2 linked regions of the Caenorhabditis elegans genome follow. The protein of the gene in region 1 interacts with the protein of each later gene in a pairwise test. Each region holds a gene or a part of one and is shown in the gene's direction. Other genes may lie near its edges. The genes, in order: F42A10.5 and eif-3.D.

Region 1 (15,078 bases):
AGATTGAAACAACTTTTTGAGAACTAACAGAACATAATGCTTTCAGGCTACATCCTCTTGGGAAACCTTCGACGCAAAAGCCGGAGACCCATCCAGCTTCTCTTCTTCCACAGACAATTCGACCAATTGTTACTGGCATATCAAAGCTCCAGAAGGACAACAAATTGAATTCAAAATGACAAAAACTCCATTGGCAGCAATATGTATGCAAGAATGTCCATGGCAATCGATTGAAGTTAATCTTGGAAAGTTTGACTTATTTGGAATGATGTGAGTTTAGGGTATACTATTGAATTTTCAGTTCGAAAATTATTTTCCAGAACCTGCTGTGACACAATCCTAAACCAAGTGTTCACCTCTGAGCTTAATATGATTGCTCTTCGTGGAATAATTCGCTACAATCAGTTGACGTTTAGCATTCAATATCGAGCAGTGCCAAGTTCGAAGCCTGCTTCAACCAATGCTTGCTTGAACCAGTGAATTTTTTGGGATTGGGAATACTAATTTATTAATTTATTGACTTTTATATCTTAATCAAGGGTCTCATGTTTACTTTGATCTTTCCACTTGAAATGAATTTTTGTGTTATCTAAATCCAAAATGTGCTAAAAAAGTCAACTTCAAAATATGATGTTGTGTGTAGTGTGTTTGTGAAGTTACCACCAATACAAATCTATTTACATTCAACTTTAGGTGAAAGTTTTGAAAGCTTAAAAACAAATTTGAAGTTGTTGAAAACCTAATGAAAACCTAAACAGTAATTCTGATACAAGTTTTTAAACCACCTAGCTCAGAAATGACAATGGCTAACTTGTAGTCTATGTTTATCACAATCCAATAAACAAATATCATCCTATTTTCTGAACCGGATATCGCCGAAATCTATTGCGCATTTACTCTTGTTTGCTCTCAATCTTTTGATGTCTGCTCTGCTCGAAAAACGTTTATCTATCACTTTTTTATTATCACACACTAAAAATTGTAATGTCATCGAAAGTAGTTTCGTTCTAGGTCATTCAAATAATCCGAAAATTGCAGTATAGGTCACATGGAGGAAACGTGTACTTTATACTGTTGTTGCTACTACTTCTGCTAGCGGTGCTCCTGAATTTTACTACCCTTATCAGAACCGGTTTGTAAGGGGAAAAGAACAAAGAAGAAAAAGTTATCAGTCAATAGAACATAGTTTGTAAAACATAGGGTCTATTATGTTTCAGAGAGGAAACACCCATCAACTAGTCTATGATCGACTAAAGTTTTTGGTTTAATTAGTTATGCGAAGAATGCCAAAATTGGGAAAAAAGTTTCTTATAAAGTTCCCAGGTTATCAAAGTAAATGGTGAAATGGTACTGCCAAAATGTTCTTATAGGAAACATCTACAAATCCATTCGAACTTTTGTAGAGTTTCAAATGGAAATTACCATTATAGAACAAATCAATATGAGAGTAACCCGTCAATTACAGATCGAGTAAATTACAAATATTATAGGCTTATTTATAGCTTTACGCAATTGTCTTCGTATGTTTTCCTCAGATTTTTAATGTATTTCAACAACGCTTCGTGCAACAAAAAAAAAATAAAATCTACCCATTATAACTATATAGTCTCGTATTCTACATAGAGGGTACTTTGGGTTATCAGAGAAATTTTAAAATATTTTTAATTGAAAGAACATGATTGATTAAATAAATTTCCATACATACATTTATTTGCAACTTAAACAATATAAATTTCGCTCTGGAAAGATTTAAAACCTCAAACCTATAGGATGTGTACGTTCTTCCTGCTTCTCCTTTAACTGATTGTAAAGTTATCATCATTTTACCGACCAACTTAATTAAACGAAAAGATTTTTCCAATAAGACGTAAATTGGTTTCAACGAAATAATTAAAAAGTTGTGTACGTACATTCTCTCAAAATAGGTTTAATGCCGCATAACAGGAACTGTGCAAATTGTCAAAAATGCAACTCAATAAACAAATATTCTAACAGGAAATGATCGACTAAATATATATTTTATGTGAAACTCATATTTCAATCAGTGATCAAGTTTCAAATGATAACGGAACCGATTCATGTTTTACTTGACAGGTTTGCAAGAATTGCGGAAATTAAACTTTTTAATCCTCCCAAATCTTCTACGAAATTCGTTATCATTTTTTCTAAACCGGACAACTTTTCAAACCACATTCTTGCTACCACTTCAGTGTCCAAAAAATAAAAATCGAGTTCGGTTCGCCCTCTGCCCCAAAATTGTCATTTTCAGCACGTGTTTGCAACAAGTTTTCCATCGACGTCAATTGATTATAGAGTATATTTGGAGAGCAAAGGAAGTGGAGTAATTAGAGAAAGCACAGGGGAGTTTCAGAAAAAAAAAGAGAAAAGTTTTTGATAACGTCGCGGACATACCGAAGAGCAAGCATAATAGAGAAAATGGGTTGATGTCTGATAAGGAAAGAGCCCCGGGATGTTTGAAGGGGGTGGAGATTAATTGAAACGTATAAATGAGGAGCTTGGGAAGGAGTGGAAGGTCATATTTCTGATTTTCTGTTAGACTATAGTAGGGAAAAAACTCCGCTTTTGGTTATTTAAGGCCACGAACGGTTTTATAATTTCACCATTTATTCGTTTCAGTAGAAAAATACAGTTTAGCCGAACTCACGCTGTAGGCAGATCGTCATGATGTACACCAAGATTCATTTTAACTTGGGCTCGAGTCTAAACAGAAGTCCGAGCCTGATCCTACGCTTCTTAATAACCAGTTCCCCAAAGTTATTCTACTTGCATTCTACTCCCTTATCATCACTACTTATCACCATTTCACCATTCAAAACTGTCATTTTTTTCAATGAATTCTTGAACTTTCAGCCTCTCACAATGCTTCTCAGGTGTGTCATTCTCTCAGTTCTTTGCATCGCTGCCACTTCTTTTGTTCTCCCAGTTGTCGACAACTTGGCAGACTGTGCTGCACCAAATGGAACCGACAAAGTGATGCACTGGTGGCAGTGCTCATCTGGACCAGTTCAATTTTTGAATGCTACTCCATACGACTCTACCGGAAAACAATACGAGTACCCAATTCATTTGAGTCAGCCAATTGTTGTCAAGACTCAAATCAATAACCCAACGAGCACATATGTGTCGCCAAATCTTCGTAACACCGTCAATATCTGGAAGTATGGAGGATGGAACGGATGCACATGGAGCTCAATCCCAACTCTCGGTCTTTTGTAAGTTTATATCTTTAAGTTAATTCTAATGGATTAGAATGGGTGAACTGTTTAGGCTATTCTCGACTTCTAAATAATAAATAACGATTCATCTTCCAGGAAGGACCTTGACGCCTGCGCAAACGGAGTCCCATGCCCAGTCCGTCCAGGAAACCAAGAACTTGACGTCATCATTGACTTCACCAAGTTCGACCAAATCATCGCCTTACTCAAGGACAATCAGCCATATCAACTCGAGTACATCCTTCACGACAACCAATCCGGAGACACCTCATGCATGATGGTCCAGGCTTGGGCCTTCCTTAAGTAAAATGCTTTCCCATTTGGCGATTGGCTTTAAGATTTCTAATTATATTTGCACTATAACACGGGCGTATATTTTAACAACAATAAAATGTACATAATCTTGACTTTTTGTTGGTTTTTGTTCATTATCAATTTGAAGGAAAAATTTCCGAAATCGAACTAAAGTTGCGATAACATTTTGATAAAAAAGAACTATTCGCACTGGAAAATGTTGCATATTTGCCATTTTGGCAATGAACCAAAAATCAAACAAGTAAACAAGGAATCAGAAATTATTAATAATTTCCCGATTCAGTTATAGTTTGAAAACTGAGAAATTTCAATAAGTACCTAAAGTTGGAAGTATGAAGAATACGTGCTTGCACAGGTTTTTTAAAACTTTGTCTTTCCTTCAATTCATCGGATTTAATGATCAAAATAGAAGAAGAATATAAAAATCGCATAGACGTCAAAAATGAAAATTTTCTTCATATCTTATGAGTACAACGAGTTACTTTACCACGCGTCAATTTCTTAGGCCTCCATTGTATCATAATTTTATTTTAAAAAGCTTGGAATCAGTTATTCATTGTATTAGAAAAACATGGTGCAGTAGCGGCCTTCATATTGACACGTGTTACAGTAACCCGCTTTCCGCGTGGCGAGACCCATTTGCGTAAATTATGACGGAAACTCTCATCTTCTGACGTCTACGTAATATTAAGACGCTGATAAAGCTAAAGTTGCTGAACAAAGTAATGAAAAATAAAAATGTATGGTACCCAAGTTTTAAAGGCGCATAGCACGAGTGAGCAAAATTTTCAATCGTGGCGAGACTTCGAAAGGTGCATTTCTCAGGAATACTCAATATACATATGAAATTTTTTCAATGAAAATGAGTACTTCCTGTGGATATTTCCGGTTCTCTGTGACCTCTTTTTTATTCTAGAATCACAATTACATGCAAAAAACTATTAAAACGCGTGGTTTCTTCAAATTGCCATGTGCTTTGATATTTCTCTTATCGTAGTTTTTCCTATCGAATTTGATGATCATTTTGCAATTTAGTTTTCCATTTTCTCAAATTTCCCAGTTAACCAATTACAGATTCACTATTTTATTCCAACTTAGATCACATCCACTAGCTTTCGAAACGAAAAATTCTACTTCAATTCCAGATGCTTGCTCGTTGTCTGTGTCTCTTCGCCCTACTTGCTCTCTCGTCGGCATGCGATCAATGGCCGAATACTACAGAGACAAAGGTCAACTGGTGGCAATGCTCAAATGGACCAGTTATGGTGACCAATGTTAATCCAACTGATAAGAGTGGTTCGCAAGTTTTCTGATAGTTTCTACGAATGTATAATTGAATCCAGGTAACAGTGAATATCCAATCCGTCTTACTGAACCACTTCTCATTGCAACATCCATCAATGATCCATCCTCAACTTATACTACTCCTGGACTTAAACAAACTATCAAGGTCTGGTCATGGAATATGGCTACTTGTGGATGGTCTTCAGTACCAACTTTTGGACTTTTGTAAGATTTTTGCTTCTTACAGTAACCTACAGTAACCTTTTCCAGGAACAACATCGATGCTTGTACCAACGGAGTACCATGCCCAATTGAACCGAAAAACAAGGTCATCAATTTGGAACTCGACTTCTCTGATACTCCAGCTATCATCAATCTTCTCAAGGTTATTTTGATGTGTATTCTTCGAAAGTTAAACCCCCAATTTCAGAACGATAAGCCTTACCAACTCGAGTATCTTCTTCATGATGACCCGAGCAAGGAAGACCTTTGCATTATTTTCCAGGCTAGAGCTCTCACTCATACTTAAATTTTGAAGTGAACAATTTAATAAAGCAATAAACTTTTTTCTCAACAAAAATTATAAATTGAATTCTTAAATAGTGTAACAAAACGTGGAAACTGGGTGAAATATGGGAAACAACCGAATGCGAAACAAAACAGGAAAAATTTAGGCAGTGAGTTGAAGCTGCTTGTAGACTTGCTTTCTGTATTCTTCGAGTCCTCCCTCCAAAGTTGTCACCATTCGATCCTTCACAACCCAAAGTTCCTTGCACACAAGCTCGATGAGTTGCTCGTCGTGAGAAACTAAAACGACACCTCCATTGAAAACATTAAGCGCTTTTCCAAGAGCTTCAACCGTTTCGACATCCAAGTGATTAGTAGGCTCGTCAAGAATCAAGTAGTTTGGCCTGAAAAATACTATGAATTAGACGGAGTTTGAATAAATTTTTTTTTCTAGGAAAAAATGAATATTTTTTGAAAATGTTGCTATTTTCAAGCAAAACTCACTGCATCAAGGCTAAATTAGCAAATGCCAATCGAGACTTTTGACCTCCAGAAAGTGTCTCAACAGATTGCAAAGCCATATCACCAGCTAATCCAAATCTTCCCAAAGCTGCTCGATAATCTTCTTGAGTCTTTCCAGGATGATTCTTCATCAACACCTCAATAGCTGATGTTTCCATATCCAATTGATCAACGTGATGCTGTGTGAAGTAGGCAATTCGAATACGACGATTCACATTTCGAAGTCCAACGGATGGTTGGAGATCATCGAGCAAAAGTTTCAACAGTGTAGTTTTACCGGCTCCGTTTTCTCCGACAATACAAATCCGGGAGTTGGCATGAGTTCCGAGATTGAGCTTTCGGAAAAGATAGGGAGAATCTTCGTTATAACGGAAGGATACTTCATCGAGTTGGAGAACTGGATTACTGAGAACTTCGCATTCTGGGAATTTGAAGTGAATGTCTGATTCGAGTTCGACAGGAAGAAGAACAGGCCTGAAAATCATAATAAAATTTTTAGTGACAATATTTTATAAAAACTCACAATTTTTCCAACATCTTGATTCTGGATTGAACCATTGGAGCTCTTTTAGCGTTGTATCTGAATTTGTCAATAAACTCTTGAGTATGCTGTCTCAATTGCTGTTGTGATTCGTATTCTCTCTGCTGTTGCGTCAACTTTTCCTTCATCGTCTTCTCAAATTGATCGTAATTACCCTTGTAGTGATCCAATCGTCTGGTGTGCAAATGAACAATGTCCGTGCAAATTTCGTTGAGGAATTTACGGTCGTGAGAAACCGTCAAAATAGTTCCTTCCCAACCTTGCAAATGTCCTTCCAACCAGTAAACCGCTCTCATGTCCAACATGTTAGTCGGTTCGTCAAGCAACAAGAGATCTGGCTTCACGAATAGAGCTCTGGCAAGGGCAACTCTCATACGCCATCCTCCAGAGAACTCCTTTGTTGGACGCTTCTGCTCGTCTGGAGTGAAACCGAGACCATAAAGAAGGGAAGAAGCCCGTGCTGGAGCTTTGTCAAGTTGGAGAGCTTCCATTTCGATGTAAAGTTTTGAAAGCTCGTCATTCCATTTGGTTTTCTCGGCGTCATTGATATTGTCCTTGTTTATACGACTCTGAAATTTTAATTTTGAAAAATGAATTAATTTTTGTTCAAATTAAAAATATATATTTCAAGAATGGAATGAATTCAAATCAGACTTTTTTGTCATATTATTCTCATTGAATATTAATATCATTTTCTGAATATCTCACTTGCAGCGTCTTTTCCCTATCAAGAAGTGTTTGTCTCTTCGTATCTGACATCAAAACAGCATCCAAAACGAGTGTATCATCTCCTTCCACTTCCTGTTCCACAGACAGCATTGAAATACCTGCGGGGATCTTCAACTGTTGGCTTGAAATCATTTTAAGCAGCGTCGTTTTTCCGATTCCGTTTCTTCCAACCAATCCATATCGTCTTCCAAATGCCATTGTGACATCGGCACATGAGAGAAGTTGTTTCGTACCGATAGAAATATCCACACTTTCCAGTTTGATATCCTTTGAGTTGGCTCCACGGGCACCCGAGTCACGAATTGGAGCTTGGGAAGCCGTTGCTGATGGCTCATTCTTCTTCTTCTTCCGTTCAACAGGTGCATCTGCACGAGCTTCTGCTTTCGCTGCAGCACGATCTTCGGCCTTAGCAAGTTTCTTCTTATCAACGGTAGTTGGAGTATCTCTTGTTTGTACTTTCCAGATGCTTTGAAGAGCTTCAAAGTTTTGATTTTCAGCAGCCATGTCAACAGTTTGCTCGAGACGTTTCGTAGTTGCTTCCTGTTGTTTGATAGCCTTTGGAAGGTTGTCTCCGTGAAGTAGTTTCAGAAGTTGTTGACAAGCATTCTTAGCTCCAACCTCGCAAAGATTTTCCACGGAAGCTTGAAGATGTTCACCAACGGCATCCATAACTTCATCTAAAGATGTGATCTCATCGGAATTCTCTTTGAGAATTGCAGAGACATAGTCTTTGATCTCAATTGGAAGTGTGGGAAAAGTGGCCGTGAGATAGCCAGGAATTGCTTCAACATTTGCCATTATTTAATTGTTCAAGAAGAACTCGTAACCTGGAAAAAATTCATAACACACTCGTAAATAAGTTGCGTTTCTCGTATCATACCCAGCCAATTGAAAAAGTGAAAGACGATGAAAACCGGAATGAGACTTGGAATCAGAAGAAGATAATACGTTTGATCGGAGATGAAAGAAGCTGTTAGCTCGTCCACCAAGTGAGATTCCTCTAGCATACACTACGAGTCCTAAAAAAGTAAGGTTTTATTTATTGGGTGGTGGAAACTGTATCATTATCCAAATGACTAAAATATTAATTTAATAAATACATGTAAACTGCTATAAACTCGACCAAAAGCAATTTATTCATCCGAAAATACTGTAAATGTGAGAGAAAACTGAATAAAACGAGATATGCGTCAACAAAATCGCCATACACGCCAGTAATCGTCCTGGCGCGTTTGCAGTCTCTAACTTTTTTTTGTTGCGAAACTGAATTTTTAGCTGGATTTCTCTTCAACTTACACGTTTTGTTCATTTTTTGTTAGTTATATTTAGAAGCTCCAAAAGCCTAAACTATTCCAATTAGCAAATTCATTATTGTCAAGACAGCCTTCTGCCAAATAACTGCAATGAATCTCTGATACGCGCGTGACGTGTTGCGTCGCGTTTTCTTCTCATTTTCAGTAAATTCCAGCTAGTTTGCCACTTCCTATCATTTGTTCTTTGTGCACAGTAACTTTACATGTCATATTCGTTATTTGAACTTCACTATATTAGAAAACTGTGCTATTGTCGTTTCATTTTAGGCCGTTCAAAATAATTTTACTCTCTAAATGTTCCACGTTTCAGTTCCGACTCGCTTTTCACAACAACACAAAATGAGTGACGATTTGAGCGCTTTCTTTGCTAAAAAGAAAGACAAGAAAAAGAAGTCCGCCGTTAAAATCGAAGAAGTCGGTCAAGCACTCGAACGAAGAGCCAAGCGTCAAGAGGAGTATGAGCAAGAGTCGGAGGATGTTTCTGAAAAGCGGGTAGAAGAGGAGAAGGCCGTGAATCCTAACGAAGAAAGTGAATGGATTGAATACGGAGAAAGTCAAGGAAGGTTAGTAGATTATTCGCTCCGATTTCATTTAAATATCTCATTTATTGCAGACTAGATGGTCTGAAAATCAAAGATATGGGTCTTGAAAGTGAACAAGATCAAGTAAATAACGAAGAACCAGAAGATCGCGAGGTTCATGAGACAAAGACTTGGGGACAAGTTAGCAGTGAAAAGAAAGCGACGGAGGAGCCGGAACAAGCTGTGACGATCAGTGACAAAGCAATGGCTGCCGCTTACAAGCCACCTGCAATGAGAAGACCAGGAGCTCCGTACAGACCAAGAGCTGCTGCTGCAAATCTGGATATGGGTAGTGACGCTGCCTTCCCATCATTAGCGGATGCAAGCAAAATTGAGAAGAATAAGAAAGAGGAGAGCAAATCACCAGGAGGTTGGGTAAAAGCTGGATCCGGTGGAGCTTGGCCAGGAAGTTCGGGCCCATCTTCAAGTGGGTCTTCAAGATCGTATCCGACAACTGCTGGAAGTGGACGTGATAGTGCTCTTGCAGCTCTCAAGGTATGTGTCAAGGAAAAATAATTACTCTAAGTTTTCAAGGTTTTAAAACTATCAAAAATCATTTTTATTATTCTTGAAAATGTCTAAATTCAACGTTTCAGATGATGAGCGCCGCCAATCCAGCTCCAGCGCGTAACGAGCCAGCACCAGCCCCTGCAGCTGCTGCTCCAGCATCTTCGGGAGCTGCCAAGGCTGGATCGTACGTTCCTCCACATTTGAGGAAAAATCAATAATAGGCCCAACTATTTTCTTATTCTTCTGTTTTCTGTGTTCCCATTTCCTTATTCATTGTTTTTCTTTATTCTATAATATCCTTTTTTTGGTTAGTATTCTCATAATTTAGTACATTATTAATTTCGTCCCTATCAACTTGTTATGTCCCAAATTTCTCTTATCATTTCGTGCTTAAACGCACTTCACTCTTTATTGTTGCTCTACCAATTCTTGAACGACCCACAATACCCCGTGAAATTTATAGGGTAGTTGACAGCGGACGGTGTGGTTTGAGAATTCACGTGAATCGAATTTTGGTATCTTTTTTCGAAATCTTATGCATTTCGAAGGTCGTCTCCTATTTTCGGTGTCACGCCAAAAATCTCAAATCCGCCTGTTTCGCGTGTCGTCGGTTACGGTTTCAACGAAAGAAAGTTTCAAAATGTTTTCCCCATGAGCACTTTGCTCTTTTTCTACTTGTGCTATTTATACAAGTGCTCTATCATATTCTCTTTGCCCAATTCCCTTTCGGATTCAATCATGGTGTCTTTTTCTTTCGTTTCCCTTTTTTCTTTTTCATATAAACGTTTATACATTCCCAATGTGCTCGTCTTTGTTATCTTGCATGTGTGTTTTCAATCCCAGATTATTATTCATTTATTCAAATTATAACGATGAGGAACTGTTACTCGGTGATCACATTGCTTCGTACATTTCATTCTCGTTGGTTAGGTTCTCGCTGCAAAAAAAATTAAATGTAGGTTCATTGAATAGTTATTTGTAAATTTCCCCACTTTTCAAATCGAACTCGGCTTTTCTCTGAGCCAACTCGATGTAGATCAGGTTCTCAGCGCCCAAAATATCATGATAGAGGTTCGAACTGCCGTCGAGATCGTCAAGCATCTCTTTTGCGCGCACGTATCTGAAAATTCCAGTCGTGCGCGTAATTTTTCAATAAATCACTGGAATTTGTTTTTCAAAGAAATATTTAATTTAACTCTAGTTTTAAAAGGCACATTTTTCTCTTACCTGTCCACATAAGGTCTACCATGAGCTCCGAGGCTTGAGTAGTTGGTCATCATTTCGGATGACGTGGAAAGTAGATCTGGGCGCCAGCTTTTCAGCAGATAGATAAACGCAGTCTCAGTAGTGCCAGACGGAAGTTTGATCTGAAATTTTCATGTTTTTGAATGAGAAATTCCCCATTTTCAGATATGTTTTGTAAGTTGGTATTGTTATGATTCAACAATGAAAAATAAAACAAACGGTCGAAGACGTTTACATTTTTTTTTGAAAATTTCGTGTCTACTTTCTACAGTAACCCGCGCTGTCTGAATGAGCTCATTCATATTATCTATTCCATAAATATCCTAAATCAATAATTATAGGTTCCTTCATATACACTTTATTTTAACTTCCTCTATATTTTTCAGCCAAAAAAAACACCAAGTGGTCCCAACCATTCATCCATCCAAGTCAAATGTGCACACCCATCTCTTTTCGGTTTACACTCTGTCTGTTTCTCTAAATCTCTCATTCTTCATCATTGTCTCTCCTTCTTCTCCTTTCTCCATTCTTCTGGGTGCCTCTAGGCCTTTCTCGATTTTCCATTTCTTCACGTAGTTTTCTCCCAGTTTTTCCGTCGGTCTTTTTTCAACTTCAGAGAGTCTACTGATTCCTGTTTCTATTTTAAAGTGCTAGTGATAAATGTCTGAGAGATATTGGTCACATTTGACCTATTACATTCGGCTCGGTCAGATTGAAGTTTCAAGGAAATCAGAATATTTCATTTTTATATTCCAAGAATCTACTCAACCAGATGATTTATTATGTTCATTAAAAATAATAGGATTGGTTTCTCATTGATATATTATTCACCATCTGCCCTTTTTATCAAATCACAAAAAATCATTTTTATCTTTAATGTCTAACTGTAAGTACAAAAACGTGCAAAACTGAAAAACTTAAAATTGAAAGTAATTTTCGATTTTTTGTTCTTTTGATTTTTTAATCTTTGATCTTGAAAATTTTCCTCGACGTTTCTCGAATGTTCCTTCAAAAAATATTACCCATTATAATTTATGAGCTTTTTTCTTTCTCTATTTATTCCTATCGGGCCCGATATCGGGGAGGATTTTAGATTTTTTAAAAAATAATTTTATAGAACTTTTGAAGATACCTCTAAATGCCTACAATACTTACAAAATATGAAATAGTTTTTGTTTCTTTTCAAAATGCATAATCTCATTTATAAAAATGATTTATAAAACACAATTTACGGACTTTAATCCAAAATCGTATGTTTTCCATTGAAAAAGATAATATCTTCCGAATCTGGTTCTCGATCCTCGTAATTCTCTATTTACCCAACTCTTCTCTACACACAAATCACTGGATTATAGACTAAAAACCTAAAAATGCTCGAAATAGAAAACTTCTGCAGTTTGAATCTTAAAATTGTTCTAAAAGTGAATACGAATTTCATAAATCTCAATTATCAATTATCAGAAACAAATATTCAGAAAATAATTGGAAAACCTTTAATAATTTTCAATTATTACTTCTAATGGTCGTTTCAGAATGTTATTTTTAAAAATCGATTTCTTTTCACTGAGATCAAATTTACTTTTGGATCCATTTTTTACGAATGCATAATAAACATATTGTTATTACATCCAAAAATTTCCATAAAAAGCTCTCAGCTGACCAGCACGTGACGCATCTCGATGGAACAGAAATCAAACTGTTTATATGTTTGTTTGCTTCTCTTTTCTCTATCATCTGCTTTCAAGTATTCTTTCATTCGACACGTTCTCCCCCCGTTGTCGCTTTAATTCATGCTCGTTTTTTGTTGGGTGTGATTAGATGAGTAGTGTCTGGGCCTGACATAGAAAACAAGACCTTTGACTTGCCTTGAGTTCTGATACGATACCTGGTCTCAACGCGACCAAAAAATTTCAGCGCAAACAAGAGAGTGCGCCTTTAAAAAGTACGGTAGTTCTCCACGTCCAGTTTTTCCCAATTTCATAGATTTTACACTTTAAATCTTTTTCGCAACTAGGTAATATCGTTTTTTAAGAATAAAAACATCTACAGTAGGAAATCAAACAGAACCTTTTTTATCTGACTTACCTCAACTTTCTTTCTATCGTACAATGTTGGGTAGGCTTCCAACTCATCGAGCACCTTCAATTTCTTCTCGCAAACTTCATACATTTCTCCTTCAATGTTCTGAAAAAATTTGGATTAATTATTTACAAAATAGTTGTTTCAGTAGTCAAACTGGGCAAAATGACGATCGACACAACAAATGAGAGCGACAATAGTCCAACTAACTCACCAGGATTGGAGGTGGGATTTTTGAAAACAATTCTTTAACAAAATTAAATTTATTTAATTAAAATTCAATTAAACAAACTACAATTTTTACTTTCAAGGCCTCGGCTCGGACATTCTCGCTCAATGCGTCAAAAATGGTTCGGATAACCGACGACTACGCAGATGAAGTGTTCATTGAACAGAATGATGTCGTTATCGAGAAGCCTCGTATGGATCCTCTCCACGTTAGAAAACTTATGGAGACATGGCGCAAGGCTGCTCGCCGAGCAAGAACAAACTATATAGATCCATGGGATGAGTTCAACATCCACGAGTATCCAGTACAACGAGCTAAACGATATAGGTATTCTGCAATCAGAAAGCAATGGACAGAGGATATAGTCGATGTGAGACTTCATCCGGACAGTTTTGCACGTGGAGCCATGCGAGAATGCTACCGACTCAAAAAGTGCTCCAAGCACGGAACAAGTCAAGATTGGAGCAGCAACTATGTCGCAAAAAGATACATTTGTCAAGTCGATCGTAGAGTTCTTTTCGATGATGTCAGACTTCAGATGGATGCCAAATTATGGGCTGAAGAATATAATCGGTATAATCCACCGAAGAAAATTGATATTGTTCAAATGTGTGTCATTGAGATGATTGATGTAAAAGGTTCTCCACTCTATCATTTGGAGCATTTCATCGAGGGAAAATATATAAAATACAATTCAAACTCAGGATTTGTATCAAATGCAGCTCGTCTTACACCACAAGCATTTTCTCACTTCACCTTCGAACGTTCTGGTCATCAAATGATGGTTGTCGATATTCAAGGAGTTGGTGATCTTTACACAGATCCTCAGATTCATACAGTTGTGGGAACTGATTATGGAGATGGAAACCTCGGAACTCGTGGAATGGCTCTTTTCTTCCATTCACACAGATGTAACGATATTTGTGAGACAATGGATCTATCAAATTTCGAACTTTCGCCACCTGAAATCGAGGCTACCGAAGTTGCGATGGAAGTAGCTGCAAAGCAGAAAAAGTCATGCATAGTTCCTCCAACTGTGTTCGAAGCAAGAAGAAATCGAATTTCAAGTGAATGTGTACATGTCGAGCATGGTATTTCGATGGATCAATTGAGAAAAAGGAAGACGTTGAATCAATCGTCAACCGATTTGTCAGCAAAGGTGAAAGAAACATTTAAAAAAGTTCTAACGTATTCTATTTTTATATTTTTCAGAGTCACAACGAAGACTGTGTATGTCCTGAGTGTATTCCAGTTGTTGAGCAACTCTGTGAGCCTTGCTCCGAAGATGAAGAGGACGAAGAAGAAGACTATCCAAGAAGTGAAAAAAGTGGAAATAGTCAGAAAAGTCGACGTAGTAGAATGAGCATTTCAACGAGATCTTCTGGCGATGAATCAGCATCTCGTCCTAGAAAATGCGGATTTGTAGATTTAAACTCACTTCGTCAGAGACATGATAGCTTCAGAAGTTCTGTTGGGACATATTCTATGAATAGTTCTAGACAAACCAGAGACACTGAAAAGGATGAATTCTGGAAGGTTCTTCGAAAACAATCAGTTCCAGCAAACATTCTATCACTTCAACTTCAACAAATGGCTGCTAACCTGGAAAATGATGAAGACGTACCACAAGTCACCGGGCATCAGTTCTCTGTCCTCGGTCAGATTCATATTGATCTCTCACGATATCATGAGCTCGGGCGGTTCGTAGAAGTTGATTCAGAACATAAGGAAATGCTTGAGGGAAGTGAAAATGACGCTCGTGTACCAATCAAATACGACAAGCAGTCTGCAATTTTCCATTTGGATATCGCTCGGAAGTGTGGAATCCTTGAGGCTGTGCTAACATCGGCTCATATTGTTCTCGGATTACCACATGAATTGTTGAAAGAAGTCACCGTTGATGATCTGTTTCCTAATGGGTTTGGAGAACAGGAAAATGGAATTCGAGGTGAGCTTTTTTTGTTAATTTTTCTCTTTTAAATCTGAA
Region 2 (15,343 bases), 2.8 Mb from region 1:
TGTATTCAGCAAAAACTGCCGTGTCGAGACCAGGAATCGTATTGTTGGAGCAAAACCACAGAATTTCGCGTTCGGACAATAAGGAAAAAATAGAAAAATAATAGATAAATGCAATACGTCGCAGTAACGATGTGAAATAAAAAATTTTAATGAAGCTTTAATACTAAAAAACTAATTTATTTTTAGGCTGGATATTATAAAAAATTGTAGGTGTTTTGAGAGTTGAGAAAAATGGGAAAATAGATGCATAATGATACGAATTTTCTCCAATTGTGTAGGCACCGTTTTCGTATTCGAATTTTTCCACAATTTCTAGTTTTGCCATTTCTGTAAAAAATATAGTGAATAGAAAAATATTGTGTACGAAAGAAAAATAACTAACTCAAATGATGCTCGAAACACTCAATACTCGACTCGTTACGACGAGTGCACGCAACGATAGCAGCTTTTGAGTGGCGGAGCAGAAGATTGAGCACATTGCAGAGAGAGGCGAGCAATGCAGTGTCGTAGACAACATCTGAAAAAGGAGACGTGAAAGAGAAGAGAGACACAGAGAAATGAGAAGACTTGGATAATGAGTGCCTGAAGCTGTTATTTGAAGGGTTTCGTTTCACACGAATATCATATAGAAAAACAAAGAATTTAACAAATAAAAGTATTAGCAAAACCTACCGGCCGCGATAATCAAATCCGTGGGTTCCTTCCATTCAGAGAAATCAAAATCACACCAATTGAGTGAGCGAACTGTTGCTTGATTGTTGTTGGCTGACGAATCTACAATTTAGATTCTAAATATTTTTAAATTTGAAATACGGAAGGAGTCGATTTTATTTCTCAAAAAATACCTTCAGTATCACTCTTCAGATCGTTTTTCGCAATATTCTCTTCTAAAAGATTCAGCACATTATCATCATAATCAGTGAGCGTCACACAACAATCATTCATTTTTGCAATTGCAATTCCACTAACACCACATCCTGACCCGAGTTCTAATATTCGATTGTACTCGGAGGGAATCAAGCGAAAAAGATTGGCGAGATCACAAGAAGCTTGCCAAACTGATAAGCCAGTTGTACCCATTGATAGTTGATTTACAGCTTCCGAGAATTTCGCTAGAACTTTGTCGCCTCCATCGGTTAGGTAAACCTGAAAATATGAAATTATTTCCATTTGAGCTGACGAATTGTTTAAAAACTTACTCTTTCCACATATTCTCCTTCTTTCATTCCCATTAGAGAACCAAGCCTGTCGAACATTGAATCAGGAACAACAACATTATTGGCTTGAAGTTCAGAAATCAAGTTTTTAAGAACATTTATTTGAAATTTGTAACGAATTTCATGCGATGTGACAATTTCATTATTGAAGACATTGTTGCAAAGATTCTCAGCATATTCCGAATCTTTTATGCATTGTTCTACAATATCCTTCATTAGCTGATCCGGAATTTTTGAAGCGCTACAATAAAATCTTTTGAACTGGAGTTCAGTTGTCTCCTTTTCTGAGTGGACCATCCCGCTCAGTTCTCCGTTTTCTTGACATTTTGTGAAAATTTTGCGTTTTCGTTCTGACTGAATAAGCGGTATCAGGAGGAAGGTATTCGGGTCTTGCATGTGGAATTCCGTAGTGTTCTGCTTGAACGATTCGCTGCTCCGCTTGATAGATTAGTTTGCCAATCACTATTGGGTCTTTTTCCTGAAAAATCCCATATAATTAGTTTCCACATCAATATTGAGAACGAGAATACCTGCTGGTGCTCTCGGAAAGCCTGACGAGCTTCAGTGATAATTTGTTGTCTCTCAACTACAGTATTTGTTTCTTCTTTTGCTTTCCAATTCTTGCCCAATTTTAAAATCTGTCGATAGAGCTGAATGACTCGAATACTTTGTGGCACTGTATTCATCAAGGTGGACCCGTTTCTGGAATTATATTCTGATTATGCGAGGAAATTTGGAGAAAACAAATAAAAACCAAAAATTGAGGTGGCGTCAAGTGGCGAATGTTGGCGCGTTTCGTGTACCTTGCGCATTTCTCGATTAAACATTTTTATTTTTACACGCGTTCTTGTCGGATTTTTCACATTTTTATACGATTTTCTGATTAATTTTTCTGTTTTGTGAATTATATAAATTCATGAAAGTCTTGTAACTATATTTTAAATGCTCTCGAATGTTATTGTTCCATTTCCATTTCTTTTGTCGTTGCTATCGTTTGGCCTAAAATTGCATTTCAACACTATTTTATATTTATTTCAGGTATGGCTCTACCAAAGTTTGAACTGTTGTCATTGGCTGATAATACAGTCGGATGGGGTCCATTGGCGTCGAGTTCCTCTGCTGATGAGCCTGTTCCATTCCAACAATTCAACAAGGCTGATCGCATCGGACGTGTTGCCGACTGGATTGGTGTTGATAGATTCTATAGAAGAGGAAATGAGAGGTTTTTATACAACAAATGAGTGGTATCGTTAAAACTTGAAATTTAGATACAATGAGCGTGTCTATGGATCCGCCGCCAACGCTGGAAGTCAGTTCGATTACATTCATGGAATGGATGAGCATAACTTCCAACTTGTTGACACTTCTAAACCAATGGCTCGCAATCCACAGCGCAACTTCCGTGTCCGCCAAATGCATCTTCGTAAGATGATGCAGAAAGAAAATGAGAAGCGTGAGATGGTGAACCAGTCAACGAATTTGAGAATGAAGAGAAGTATCGCCAAGGAGCAACAACGTGCCTTCAAGATGTGGCAACGTCGTGGAGGAAATGCTCGTCAAGGACAACGCGGACAAGGTGGTCGATTCGGAGGTGATCGGCCGAAGGAACGTCTTCCATCTGTTCAAGTTAGACCGGAATGGGTTGTTCTTGAAGAAATGAATCTTAGTGCGTTTTCCAAACTTGCTCTTCCTAACATCCCAGGAGGAGACGACATTGGGGATCACCAGTATGGAAGTCTTCAATACTATGACAAGACTATTGATCGCGTTTCTGTGAAAAATTCTATTCCGCTTCAAAGATGCGCTGGCGTGTTCTACAATGTCACCACAACGGAAGATCCTGTAATTCAAGAACTTGCTCAAGGTGGTGCTGGAAATGTTTTCGGAACAGACATAATTCTTGCTACTTTGATGACTGCTCCTCGTTCGGTCTACTCGTGGGACATTGTTGCCTACAGAGTCGGAGACAAACTTTTCTTCGATAAGAGAAACACTAGAGATATTTTGAATCCAGTTGAGACCCTTACTGTTTCCGAGACTAGTGCCGAACCACCATCATTCGACGGAAATGGTATCAACAATGCCAAGGATCTTGCGACCGAGGCATTCTACATTAACCAAAACTTCCGTCGTCAAGTCGTCAAGAGAAACGACGCAGGATTCACCTTCAAGAATGCTCGTGCTCCATTCGAAGACGAGGAGACTGGAGAGTCAGGAACTGCTTACAAGTAGGATTTTCGTTTAAAATTTTGATCTTTAATTAAACAATTTTTAGATACCGTAAGTGGAATCTTGGAAACGGAGTTGATGGAAAACCAGTTGAGTTGGTTTGCCGTACAGAATTGGATGGAGTTATTCACGGACTCGGAAATGAGACTCAGACTCTTACAATCAAGGCATTCAACGAATGGGATAGCACACAATCTGGAGGTGTCGACTGGAGAACAAAGCTTGATGTTCAAAAGGGAGCCGTAATGGCCACCGAAATCAAGAACAACTCAGCTAAGGTTGCAAAGTGGACTCTGCAAGCACTTCTTGCCGGTTCCGACACAATGAAGCTCGGATATGTGTCTCGTAACAATGCACGCAGCACACAAAATCATTCTATTCTACTCACCCAATACGTAAAGCCAACGGAGTTTGCTAGCAACATCGCCTTGAACATGGATAACTGCTGGGGAATTCTTAGATGCGTCATTGACAGGTAAGAACGAGCACATCCAGACTGGTAATCAATTTTTTCCAGTTGTATGAAGCAAAAACCAGGAAAGTACTTGTTGATGAAGGATCCACAATCTCCGGTTATCCGCCTTTATTCGCTTCCAGAAGGAACTTTCGAAAGCGAGCGCGAGAGCTCCGACGAGGAGAACTCGGATGACGATCAATAAAGTCCCCGGTTTCTGACAATTTCTTGTATTCGCTTTTCTAATTATTGTCTCTTGTTAATTAAACTTGGTTCTGATAAGATAAACTTTATTCAAAATATCATTCAACATTGGGATTTAATCGCAGCGTGCAAACCGGTAATTTGGAAAGAATCAAGCCCGCATAGTTCATTGGAAATCGCAGTAAGTTCTGGAGAAGCGTTGTCCTTCTTGAAGTAGTCGTCTCCAAGCTCAACATCGACGAGGCAAATCCTAAATTTCAACATTTTGAAATTTTTTAATTATGCATTTTTTAGAACTTACACAATGAAAAGAGCAATAACGATAGAATTAATTTCTCTCTTTGTCCAGCCAGTGATATTTTCCGAATCGAGTTGGAATGTCGAAGCTACTCGACTGAGAATATCACGACGAGTTGGAGTTAAATGTAAACGTGCTTCCAAATCCATCCAGCTGTAATTTCAAAATTAATATTTAAAATTGCTAGATAAACTCACTGATTCCTAATAGAATGCAGGAAAATATTCAATCTCTTCTCTTTCACATTGTACTTATCAAGATTCGGCAAATTGACCAATTTCTCCGCGTCCACCTTTTTACCGGACAAAAAATCCATCAAAATTTGCTCAGCAGCTCCACCGGTTGGTCTGGCACCTTCTCGAACCAATTTACGAGTTTCAGGTGTGAACCAGGATCTTAAATGAGATAATTATTTGTAAAATTTATATTTTGAGAGTTTTCTAACTTAATTAAATCAACGAGCCACGCTTCTTTTGCTTTTTCCATAGTTTTCAATTTTGAATGGATCTCTTGAGCCTCAATCAGAATTGGTGGCTTCTTTTGCAGAGCATTTTTATTTCCATACTTTGCACGCAGCTTTGCGAGAACTTCGTCTTCTTTTTTACGATCTTTTGCTGATAGTACAGGTTTCGGGGCTGTTTTCAAAAGTTTCGAAGTCGATGGAGGACCAAAATTCGAATTTCTAAATTCCTTGATAGATTTGATAAAATCTTTGTCATCATCAGTTAATTTAAATGGTTCGATATCTTGATCTTCTGGATCTAGAGATTTTGGTTCTTCGGCTTCTTCGCTTAGTTTCATGTCTTGAACTTTCGCAATGATCTGAAACACTTAAATATATTAGTGAGCATTTCTCTTCACTTACCGAATCGGTCACCAGCCAAATAGAAGGTTCTTTTTTGAATTGCGAATCCACGGGTTCACTTTTTTCAGCAATCGGGCTTACAAATGATTCATCAGGAACTTCGTATACTTTCTCTGAATAATGAATACGGTTAATAGTATTATTTGATACAATAACTTACGAGTTCTCGCCTCCGTTAAACCGGTAATCCAGAGCGGATGCTCATCTAATTGCTTTCTTACGAAAGAACTTTTCTGATAGCACATCTCCGAACAAAATTTAGCTCTTTGCTTGCGAAACTCGAAAATTTTTCCTTCTTTTCTGTCGATTTCGAACATTTGATTTCTAGTGATTTTTGGTGGAGCTTTTTGACAAGAAGGAAAACCGCACTGCTTATTCACATATCGCTCTTCGACAACTTCGTCCCATCCGAGACAGTGGAGATGTGGAAGCTGAAAAACAAAACTTTAATAAATCTTATCATCATTTAAATAATCTTACATGTTCTTGTAATTGATCAGTATTTTCGATGTCAATGAGAGTTTCGATCGTAGTGTAAACTCTTCTGCGGAAGGAAGTCTCCTTTTCATTCACCGGAATTTCAGTCTCCATTCTAGGAACCTTAAAGAAAATATATTTCCTAGAAAAGCTTTGAAAACTGGAATTCCTTTGAAAAATACTATGTTTAAAAACATTTTATTTTTCGACAAAATGGACTAGAAATATCATTATGGCCGAGAACTCCAGCCTAGTTCGGCCACGCGGCCACCATTTTCGAATTCGACTTTTTTTCTTTTTAATACTTTAATAATGTTATTATTTAATTTAAACTTGTCTAAATACAGTTATATTTGTTTCAGTAATCGCCAGCTATGACATCGAAAGCGGATTATTTAAAAAAATATCTGTCTCCTGCTTCCGGTGATATCGAAAAGAAGAAAAAGAAGAAGAACAAAGACAAAAACAAGCCAAGCGGGTAAGTTAAATATTATTTGAAGAAAGTTTATATTAAAAAATACATTATATTTCAGGCTGCGACTAATCGAAGAAGATGCATTTCTTTCTGTGGATGCTGCCAAAACAAGAGATATTGGATCCGACGAAGAACGAGAAGAAATTGAAGTTTTGAAGCAGAGCGTTAAGAAAGCAAAAGTAGTTCATGGATTCAAGCAGACATTTGCCGAGGTTGATGCTCCAAAAGTAATAAAACCGGAACCATTATCACCTGATAACTCTCCGCCGCGGGGGAAACGTCAACGTCACGATAGCGACAACTCTCCACCAAGACCTTCTAGAAAGCGAAATGACAGTGACAATTCTCCACCACGACCATCACGAAATCGGCATGACAGCGACAAGGGTAAGTAAACTTTTAAAAACTTTAAAAAATTTGATACCTCGAATTTTCAGATAATTCACCGCCAAGGAGAAGACGACACGATAGTGACAATTCACCCCCACGTCCATCACGGAAAATAAGAGAAGGTTCGTCGAAAACCTATTTTTGCTCAATCATAAATATTTTATTTGCATTTTTCAGAAAGTCCATCTGCTAGAAATCGACGCTCACCACCCAGAACGCGAAGAGATCGGCATGATAGTGACAACTCGCCTCCTCGTAACCGTTCTCGTCGTGATTCGGATAATTCTCCGCCTAGAAGACGACCATCATCTCCTGCTCGTCGACGTAAAGACGATGATCTGAGTCCCCCGAGAAAATCGAGAAAGATCGAAGAACCGAAGAAAATAAAGAAAGAAGAGCCTGACAGTGATACAGAGACATCTGGAAGAACGTTAGAAGGCAAAAGATCCGGATTGCAATCAGCACGAGATTTGAAAGAAGAGAGCGATAAACTGAGAGCTAAAAATTCGAAAATGTTTGAAGAAATGGACACTTCGGTGAGCGGTCGATTCGCTGATACTGTATACAGACAGAAACAAACGAAGAAAAAAGGCAAAGATTCTGAAGAAGATCAGGCGAAAAAAGAACGCGAAACGAAGAAAACAGAAGAATTGAAAGAAAAATATAAATCATGGAATAAAGGAGTTGCTCAGATTGAAGATCGTAGAGCACAACTTGAAGAAATGGCCAGAGTTGCTGCTGAGCCAATGGCTAGAGCTCGAGATGACGATGCAATGAATGCCCATCTAAAAGAAGTGCTGCATGCGGCTGATCCGATGGCAAACATGATTCAGAAAAAGCGCCGAGACACAGCAATTGATCGTGGAGAACTGGTATATCCTTCATATCACGGACATTTTGTACCAAATCGATTTGGAATCGCCCCCGGATATCGATGGGACGGAGTGGACAGGTAAACCCTCAGAATTTGAGACATGAAAAATACAAATTTTAAATTTCAGATCAAATGGATTCGAAGGAAAACTTGCAAAAACGGAGAACACCAAAACAGCAAATCAATCCGAATACTACAAATCGATTGCCGAATACGAGTAATAATGATAAATTTTCCAGTGTTTCAAAATTATTTTCTTTTCTGCCTTTATTTATTATCAGTAAATTATTTTGCAAAAAAAAAAGGTTTTTATGAGCATCTAAGTAGTTTCATATGAACTCATTGTAAAGTTGTCCTTTTTCCGCATGAAGTGAGTAGAAACTTAGCGTACCGTAAATGGGGATTTTGCATAAAAATCCAAACTATTCTCTAATTCAGAAACACTAAAAGAAAAACGAAAAATATTGACATTTGAACCCATTTGAATTCTCTCCGAAATGAGAACTGCGACCAATCAGCGATTCGCTCCGCCTACGTTTCCAACCTATCAGATTCTTTTGTTGTTTTTGTGAATTTGAAAATTTTATTTTTGAAGAAAAATCCCAATGTACAGTACTCAAATTTCAAAGAATAATCCATCAAATTAATCAGAAAACGATTTATTAATAATAATTTATTGAAAAAAATTGTGTTCCTGTCAAATGTATCGAGTGCGAGAAGTTATAACCAATGTATATTAAATTAGAATAAATAGTCATGTGACAAGTTGTACAGCTCATGTTTAGGCTTTTCTTAGGACATAGCAAGCGAATTTTCCGCTCTTGATGAAACAGTGCTCACGATTCTCTCCAGCAAGTGGTAAGAGACCTTGCTCTCCACAGGCAACATAGAATTCTCCACTCACAAGACGAGATTTGACACGTTGAGCCAAACGTTGCATTGAGGATTCTGGATCCTCAGTGAGACTCTGAAATTGTTTTTCAGTTTAGAATGTTTAAACATTCATTTGAGTTCTACTAACCTGTCTAATAAGTTTCCTGAGTCTAACTGAGTTACAGATTGGAGTATCATCAGCAGTTCCTCCCTTTGAGAATCTTCTGTTTCTGAATCCAGCAGCTCCTCCTTCATATTCTTCTACATCTTCTTGTGCTTCGTCATAATTGGCTCCATTTGGTGCTCCACCGGCTCCTCCACTTCCACTGTATCCTCCTCCAGATGGTGCTGGTGCGGCGGCGGCCGACTCTCCACCTGCTCCTGAGTAGGTTTGAGCTGGTTCCGGAGCTGGTGGTGGGGCAGCTGGAGCGGTTTCACCACCTCCAGAGTAGTTGCTGCCTCCAGCAGCTGATCCAGCGTCACCTCCTCCTCCAGAATAGCCTCCAGAAGACGGAGCTGGCTCTGGAGCGGCAGGTGCTGAGGATTCAGATCCTGAGTATCCCCCAGATGGGGCTGCTGGTGCGGCTTCTGGAGCTGCCTCTGATCCGGAATATCCCCCAGATGGAGCTGCTGGAGCTGCTTCTGGTGCTGCTTCAGATCCAGAGTATCCACCGGATGGGGCCGCTGGAGCGGCTTCCGGTGCAGCTTCAGAACCTGAATATCCACCTGATGGTGCTGCTGGAGCAGCTTCTGGTGCTGCTTCGGATCCTGAATATCCACCTGATGGGGCTGCTGGAGCAGCTTCTGGTGCAGCCTCAGATCCTGAATATCCACCTGATGGTGCTGCTGGAGCAGCTTCTGGTGCTGCTTCGGATCCTCCTGAGTATCCCCCAGATGAAGCAGGTGCTGCTTCTGGAGCTGGTGCTGGCTCTGACGATCCACCAGAGTATCCTCCGGATGATGCTTCTCCTCCGCTTGATGAAGATCCGGAATATCCTCCTGCAGAAGAGGACTCTCCTCCAGATGATGCTCCAGCATCGCCTCCTCCGGATGAATATCCACCAGACGAGGATGATGAGCTCGACGATGAATCACTCCCTCCCGAATATCCTCCAGATGAAGATGATGATGATGAGCTGTCACCTCCCGATGAGTATCCTCCGCCTGATGACGAAGACGAGTCTCCTCCGCTAGAATAAGAAGATCCACCGCTCGATGAGGATTCACCACCTCCTGAATATCCACCTCCGGATGACGATGATGCTTCTCCTCCGCCGGAATAAGACGATCCTCCTCCTCCTCCGCTGCTCTGAACAATGAATACGTTATAGTGTTGTGAAATGGGCGCGCACCTAACATCTCTAGCTATCAGTCAACTATAAAAGGTTATGAGATCTATTGTTTAAAGCTAACTTTCAGCCACAGTTACAAAAACTTTGCATTATTACAAAACCCATAGTTAAAAACTATCTATTCTTATCGAAAATCAGAAATGATTCCACCTATAAGAATGTCAGTTCCATTGCATATTCTAACTACTATTCACAACTAGATTAATAGTTAGTCAAACTTTAAAAGTATTAGTATTCTACCATTAAACGTCAAGTTGATCTACATACCACGTATTCTTCCAAATCCATTTAGTTGAGAGTCAGTCTGCTTGTCATTTTAACACATTGAGCCTGTGAACCTTTAACTGAATAATGTAATCTTCGTTGATATGTTTGTGTTCATGCATTGCGTTAGAAAACGACGTACACATTCGGAAACATTTATATACAGGACACATGGGTTTTGTTTTGGCCGACAGACAAGACGTTGGCAACAAAACATAAAATTTGAGAAGAGATGATGGAATCTCGGCTCTGACAGGAAAGATGGTGGGAAAAGAGACAATACTAGACACTTCTTGTTGAGAATTGACTGCTACAGTCACTCTCATTTCTCACAACAATATCATAACGGGGGGCATCATTGGGAATTGTGATGGTACTTAAATTATGCCTTGTTGAAGAAGCGCGAGAATCTGAAGCGTGACGGGTAAGAAGAACCACCACTTGCTTGTTCAGAGTATCCTCCTCCGCTCGACACTGGAGCTGGAGCTGGTGGTGGTGGTGGTGGAGGTGGCGGTGGTGGAGCAGCAGCTGGGGCTGAATATCCTCCTCCACCACTGCTTCCGGCATATCCTCCGCTGCTTCCGCCGCCTCCTCCGCCTCCTCCGGCATATCCTCCTCCTGAAATAATTAACGTTTGATTATTATCAAAGAATGCGTTTATACCTCCGCCAGTTGAGTATCCTCCGCCGGAGCTTCCTCCAGATGAATATCCTCCTCCAGAGCTTCCACCGGTAGCGTATCCACCGCTGCCTCCTCCTGGAAACATTTCAGTGCTGATTTGATATTATTCGTAACTAAGTTCTTACCTCCGCTAGTTGCGTATCCACCGCCTCCGGATGGAGCCGAGGCATATCCTCCTCCACCGCTGGATCCTCCACCTCCGCATCCTCCTCCTCCTGATGGAGCAACAGCATATCCACCTCCTCCGCTTGATCCTCCTCCTCCGCATCCTCCTCCACCTGATGGTGCAACAGCATATCCACCTCCTCCGCTGGATCCTCCTCCACAGCCTCCACCGCCTCCTCCTCCGCATCCTCCGCCACCTCCTCCTCCGCATCCTCCGCTAGATCCTCCACCGCATCCTCCGCTGGATCCTCCACCACATCCTCCGCCGCCTCCTCCTCCGCATCCTCCACCTCCTCCTCCGCATCCTCCACCTCCTCCACCGCATCCTCCGCCACCTCCTCCGCATCCTCCGCCTCCTCCACCGCATCCTCCGCCGCCTCCGCAGCCACCACCTCCACCTCCGCATCCACCTCCTCCACCTCCACATCCACCTCCACACGGAGCAGGTGGTGGAGCACATCCTCCGCCACCTCCGCAGCCACCACCTCCACCTCCACATCCACCTCCACACGGAGCAGGTGGTGGAGCACATCCTCCGCCACCACCGCAGCCACCACCGCAGCCGCCACCGCAGCCGCCTGAAAATATGCGTAAATTATTTTTAAGAAAAGGGATTTTCAAATCTACCTCCACCTCCTCCTCCTCCGGCGCTAGGGAAGAGGAATGACGAAACGTGGATCGTCAATAGGAAGAGAACTACCAACCGAAGGTAGGTAGCCATTCTGAAATCTTTATCTAAAAACCAACATTTGGGGAACAATTCAGGTTTTTTCAGAATTCTCAGATCTTTGGTAACTAGATAATCGATGGTAAATATAAAAAAGTGACCGAAAAAGTAGGATGCTTTAAAAAGATGCGACTGAAAGAATGATGCTTATTAGGAGAACAAGTCGATCTTATATACTTATCGCAATTACTAGTGCAGAAGAACAAGTAGTGTGTCTTGGAGAATTTGGGACGCCGCCCACTGCTTGCGCGAAACGTCTGGTTTTGGCAAAAACATATACACACAGACATATACTGTTATCACAGAATGACACCGGTTCTCACTTACCAGTTACGACATCTTTATTCGGATTTCAGATGGTTCTTCTACTATCATCACATCAATTGAAAGCGTTTATCTGAGTAGGGAGGGAGATAGTCGAGACGTAACAAAACACCTTGTGTGATCGTTGTTTCAGATTTATTAGGGGTGGATTGGTAAAATTAAGAATATTTTTTAAGTGGTTGGTACATCAGTAAAATATAGGAATAATGCATTTATGGGCATTTTACATAAACTTATTTCGGCACTTACATCGGAATCCATTTTTGAAATAAATTTAATTTGCATTCACTTGTCAAAGATTGCCCATTGAAAGTGCATTTTTAAGTCTAAAAATCCTAAAACTACACATTTTATTTTTCATAAACTAAAACATTTCATTTTTAAATGCGTTCCAATAATACACAAAAACCCTCATTTCTATTTGCTAACCCATTTCAAAAACGAGAAAGGCCACAAAAGTGGACAAAAACTTCTAAGTAGATCAAACTTGAGGAATACATATCGCGTTGTCAATACTTTACATTTATACAATAGATAGCATAATTTCAGAAACTATCCAAAATAATAATTCAGTAGAAAAACCTTGTGCCATTTGCACACTATTTGGAAATTGTTAGAGATGTAATATTCTAATATTTAAAGTTTGCTTTCTACAAGAATTTTTATAGATAAATGTTCTAATTATTCGCTATTTGAACAATGTAGTAATTGAGCTTGAAAATTTTAGGCAATTTGGCACTTTCGGTAGTTTCCGATTTCCACAATTTTCGATTTTTCCAATTACCAAAAATTCGGATTGCCGAACGGCAAGTACCACTCACTCTTGGTTAGACCTATTAATTGAATCTAATCTTAGTTTTCCCCTAAACTCGTTCATTTCAAATCCTAGAACTTTGCGCCCTCGACCATTTTCATTGGATGACGCAACTTTCGCTGCCTCCCTAATCCCATATCTCTGCCTACCAATCGGTATCTAACCAGTTATTCACTCTTCAATCCATTGCACTGATTCTAATTCTTATTCTTAACGGATTACTTGAGAAGATGAATACGCGTATCTTTCTTATCACCCACTATGAAGAAATTGTTTTGTTGTGACACAAAAAACAGTCTTTTATTGCCAATGAAATACAAAGAAATTTACTGAAAACAATGGGGAAAAACATTTTGTTTTTGTGCTCTTCAACCTAATATTTGAGCACCTGTCCTAAAGAATTGAGGTCTATAAATTGATAGGATCAATTGAAGTTTTCAACAGAACAATTCTTAAAATGCGTGGAATCTTCTTCCTCATTCTGATATTAAACTTTATTGGTCTGATATTCAGTGTAGCTGAAGATTGTGCACTCTCAAAACGAGAAGATAGATGTGGCAGTATTTTTGAGGATCTTACCAATTGCTATAATTCGACGTTCAAAATGATGCTAGGAGTACGGTACCATTGAATAAAATTAATAATACGGGGTAGAACAGCGCGGAAACTTTTTCATTTGAAATTCCATATTCTCCATAAATCTCAGTTTAAAAAGTTTTGAAAACCAGTGCACATTTGAAAATCCATATTCTCCATAAATCTCAGTTTAAAAAGTTTTGAAAACCAGTGCACATTTGAAAATCCATATTCTCCATAAATCTCAGTTTAAAAAGTTTTGAAAACCAGTGCACATTTGAAAATCCATATTCTCCATAAATCTCAGTTTAAAAAGTTTTGAAAACCAGTGCACATTTGAAATTCCATATTCTCCATAAATCTCAGTTTAAAAAGTTTTGAAAACCAGTGCACATTTGAAATTCCATATTCTCCATAAATCTCAGTTTTAAAAGTTTTGAAAACCAGTGCACATTTGAAATTCCATATTCTCCATAAATCTCAGTTTTAAAAGTTTTGAAAACCAGTGCACATTTGAAATTCCATATTCTCCATAAATCTCAGTTTTAAAAGTTTTGAAAACCAGTGCACATTTGAAATTCCATATTCTCCATAAATCTCAGTTTAAAAAGTTTTGAAAACCAGTACACATTTGAAATTCCATATTCTCCATAAATCTCAGTTTTAAAAGTTTTGAAAACCAGTGCACATTTGAAATTCCATATTCTCCATAAATCTCAGTTTTAAAAGTTTTGAAAACCAGTGCACATTTGAAATTCCATATTCTCCATAAATCTCAGTTTTAAAAGTTTTGAAAACCAGTGCACATTTGAAATTCCATATTCTCCATAAATCTCAGTTTAAAAAGTTTTGAAAACCAGTACACATTTGAAATTCCATATTCTCCATAAATCTCAGTTTAAAAAGTTTTGAAAACCAGTGCACATTTGAAAATCCATATTCTCCATAAATCTCAGTTTAAAAAGTTTTGAAAACCAGTGCACATTTGAAATTCCATATTCTCCATAAATCTCAGTTTAAAAAGTTTTGAAAACCAGTGCACATTTGAAATTCCATATTCTCCATAAATCTCAGTTTAAAAAGTTTTGAAAACCAGTGCACATTTGAAATTCCATATTCTCCATAAATCTCAGTTTTAAAAGTTTTGAAAACCAGTGCACATTTGAAATTCCATATTCTCCATAAATCTCAGTTTTAAAAGTTTTGAAAACCAGTACACATTTGAAATTCCATATTCTCCATAAATCTCAGTTTAAAAAGTTTTGAAAACCAGTGCACATTTGAAATTCCATATTCTCCATAAATCTAAGTTTAAAAAGTTTTGAAAACCATATTCAGTGTAGCTGAGGATTGTGCACTTTTGAAACGAGAAGATAGATGTGGCAGTATTTTTGAGGATCTTACCAATTTCTATAATTCGACGTTCAAAATGATTCTAGGTGTACGGTAGCATTGAATAAAACTAATAACAAGGAATTATTGTTTTTGGCGAACTCTTTGAATTAATACATAGAAATGAATTAATACATTGAATACAGAGAAATGTAGAAAAATGTGTGTTATATCTGAAAATAATGTTTCAAAAGATACTATCATCGTTACACCGGGAAACTTCGGTTTAAAGGCACATGTATACTCTTTCGGTTGGTCTCGCAACGATCTCTTCGGTTCTTTTTTGCGAGTTTTGAAGTTTTGAACTAGGTCATCTTTAGAAACTACAGTAACTCACCCCTTTATATGCTCAATCCCTCTATTCTTCTAAATATTTTCATCAGACCCACTCGGAAAAATGACAGCGCCTTCAAACTGAAATGTCAAAATTTCGCGGAATTATCATAGGACTTAACACATTTATTCTTGTCCGTGGGCGGGAACTGTAACATCACAAAATTTCCTACCTGATTTTTCAGGACTGCCTTGTGACATGCAATGCATGCGAATCCTACACTTGCAACAACCCACAGCCCGATACAACTCTCAACTGCACAGCACTTGCTGGTGAATGTAACTCAGCATTGTTTAGTGAGCTTATGAAGGTAATACTACATTTCTATGTGAACTGACTATATTCAATTTTTCAGGAA

Evidence for each region.
Region 2: the proteins of F42A10.5 (region 1) and eif-3.D interact in a two-hybrid assay, tested with the Caenorhabditis elegans proteins (one large-scale study listed by BioGRID).

What each region holds. Positions count from the first base shown.
Region 1 is NC_003281.10:6,166,480-6,181,557, reverse strand, and holds F42A10.5 (Protein CDV3 homolog), read left to right. Parts: upstream 1-8,757; 5' UTR 8,758-8,786; coding exon 8,787-9,010; intron 9,011-9,060; coding exon 9,061-9,523; intron 9,524-9,624; coding exon 9,625-9,756; 3' UTR 9,757-10,336; downstream 10,337-15,078. Other genes in the region: Zinc metalloproteinase nas-28, read left to right, coding at 47-270, 321-480; F42A10.7 (MD-2-related lipid-recognition domain-containing protein), read left to right, coding at 2,881-3,233, 3,333-3,543; F42A10.6 (MD-2-related lipid-recognition domain-containing protein), read left to right, coding at 4,697-4,847, 4,895-5,060, 5,106-5,220, 5,266-5,364; abcf-3 (ABC transporter domain-containing protein), read right to left, coding at 5,506-5,746, 5,847-6,338, 6,388-6,974, 7,114-7,932; efk-1 (Eukaryotic elongation factor 2 kinase), read left to right, coding at 13,028-13,087, 13,174-14,250, 14,304-15,039; F42A10.9 (Gamma-glutamylcyclotransferase family protein), read right to left, coding at 10,433-10,475, 10,766-10,905, 12,869-12,967.
Region 2 is NC_003281.10:8,958,491-8,973,833, reverse strand, and holds eif-3.D (Eukaryotic translation initiation factor 3 subunit D), read left to right. Parts: upstream 1-2,255; 5' UTR 2,256-2,257; coding exon 2,258-2,439; intron 2,440-2,485; coding exon 2,486-3,445; intron 3,446-3,492; coding exon 3,493-3,921; intron 3,922-3,963; coding exon 3,964-4,105; 3' UTR 4,106-4,199; downstream 4,200-15,343. Other genes in the region: R08D7.4 (Complex1_LYR_dom domain-containing protein), read right to left, coding at 164-327, 383-517, 673-774, 846-1,146, 1,200-1,613; Putative RNA polymerase II subunit B1 CTD phosphatase rpap-2, read right to left, coding at 4,207-4,354, 4,406-4,555, 4,600-4,797, 4,848-5,224, 5,268-5,380, 5,428-5,698, 5,748-5,858; bud-13 (BUD13 homolog), read left to right, coding at 6,119-6,222, 6,278-6,606, 6,657-6,731, 6,787-7,561, 7,611-7,704; grl-25 (GRound-Like (grd related)), read right to left, coding at 8,265-8,450, 8,505-9,665, 10,418-10,590, 10,636-10,728, 10,779-11,396, 11,446-11,539; ZK643.6 (uncharacterized protein), read left to right, coding at 13,141-13,299, 15,170-15,295, 15,341-15,343.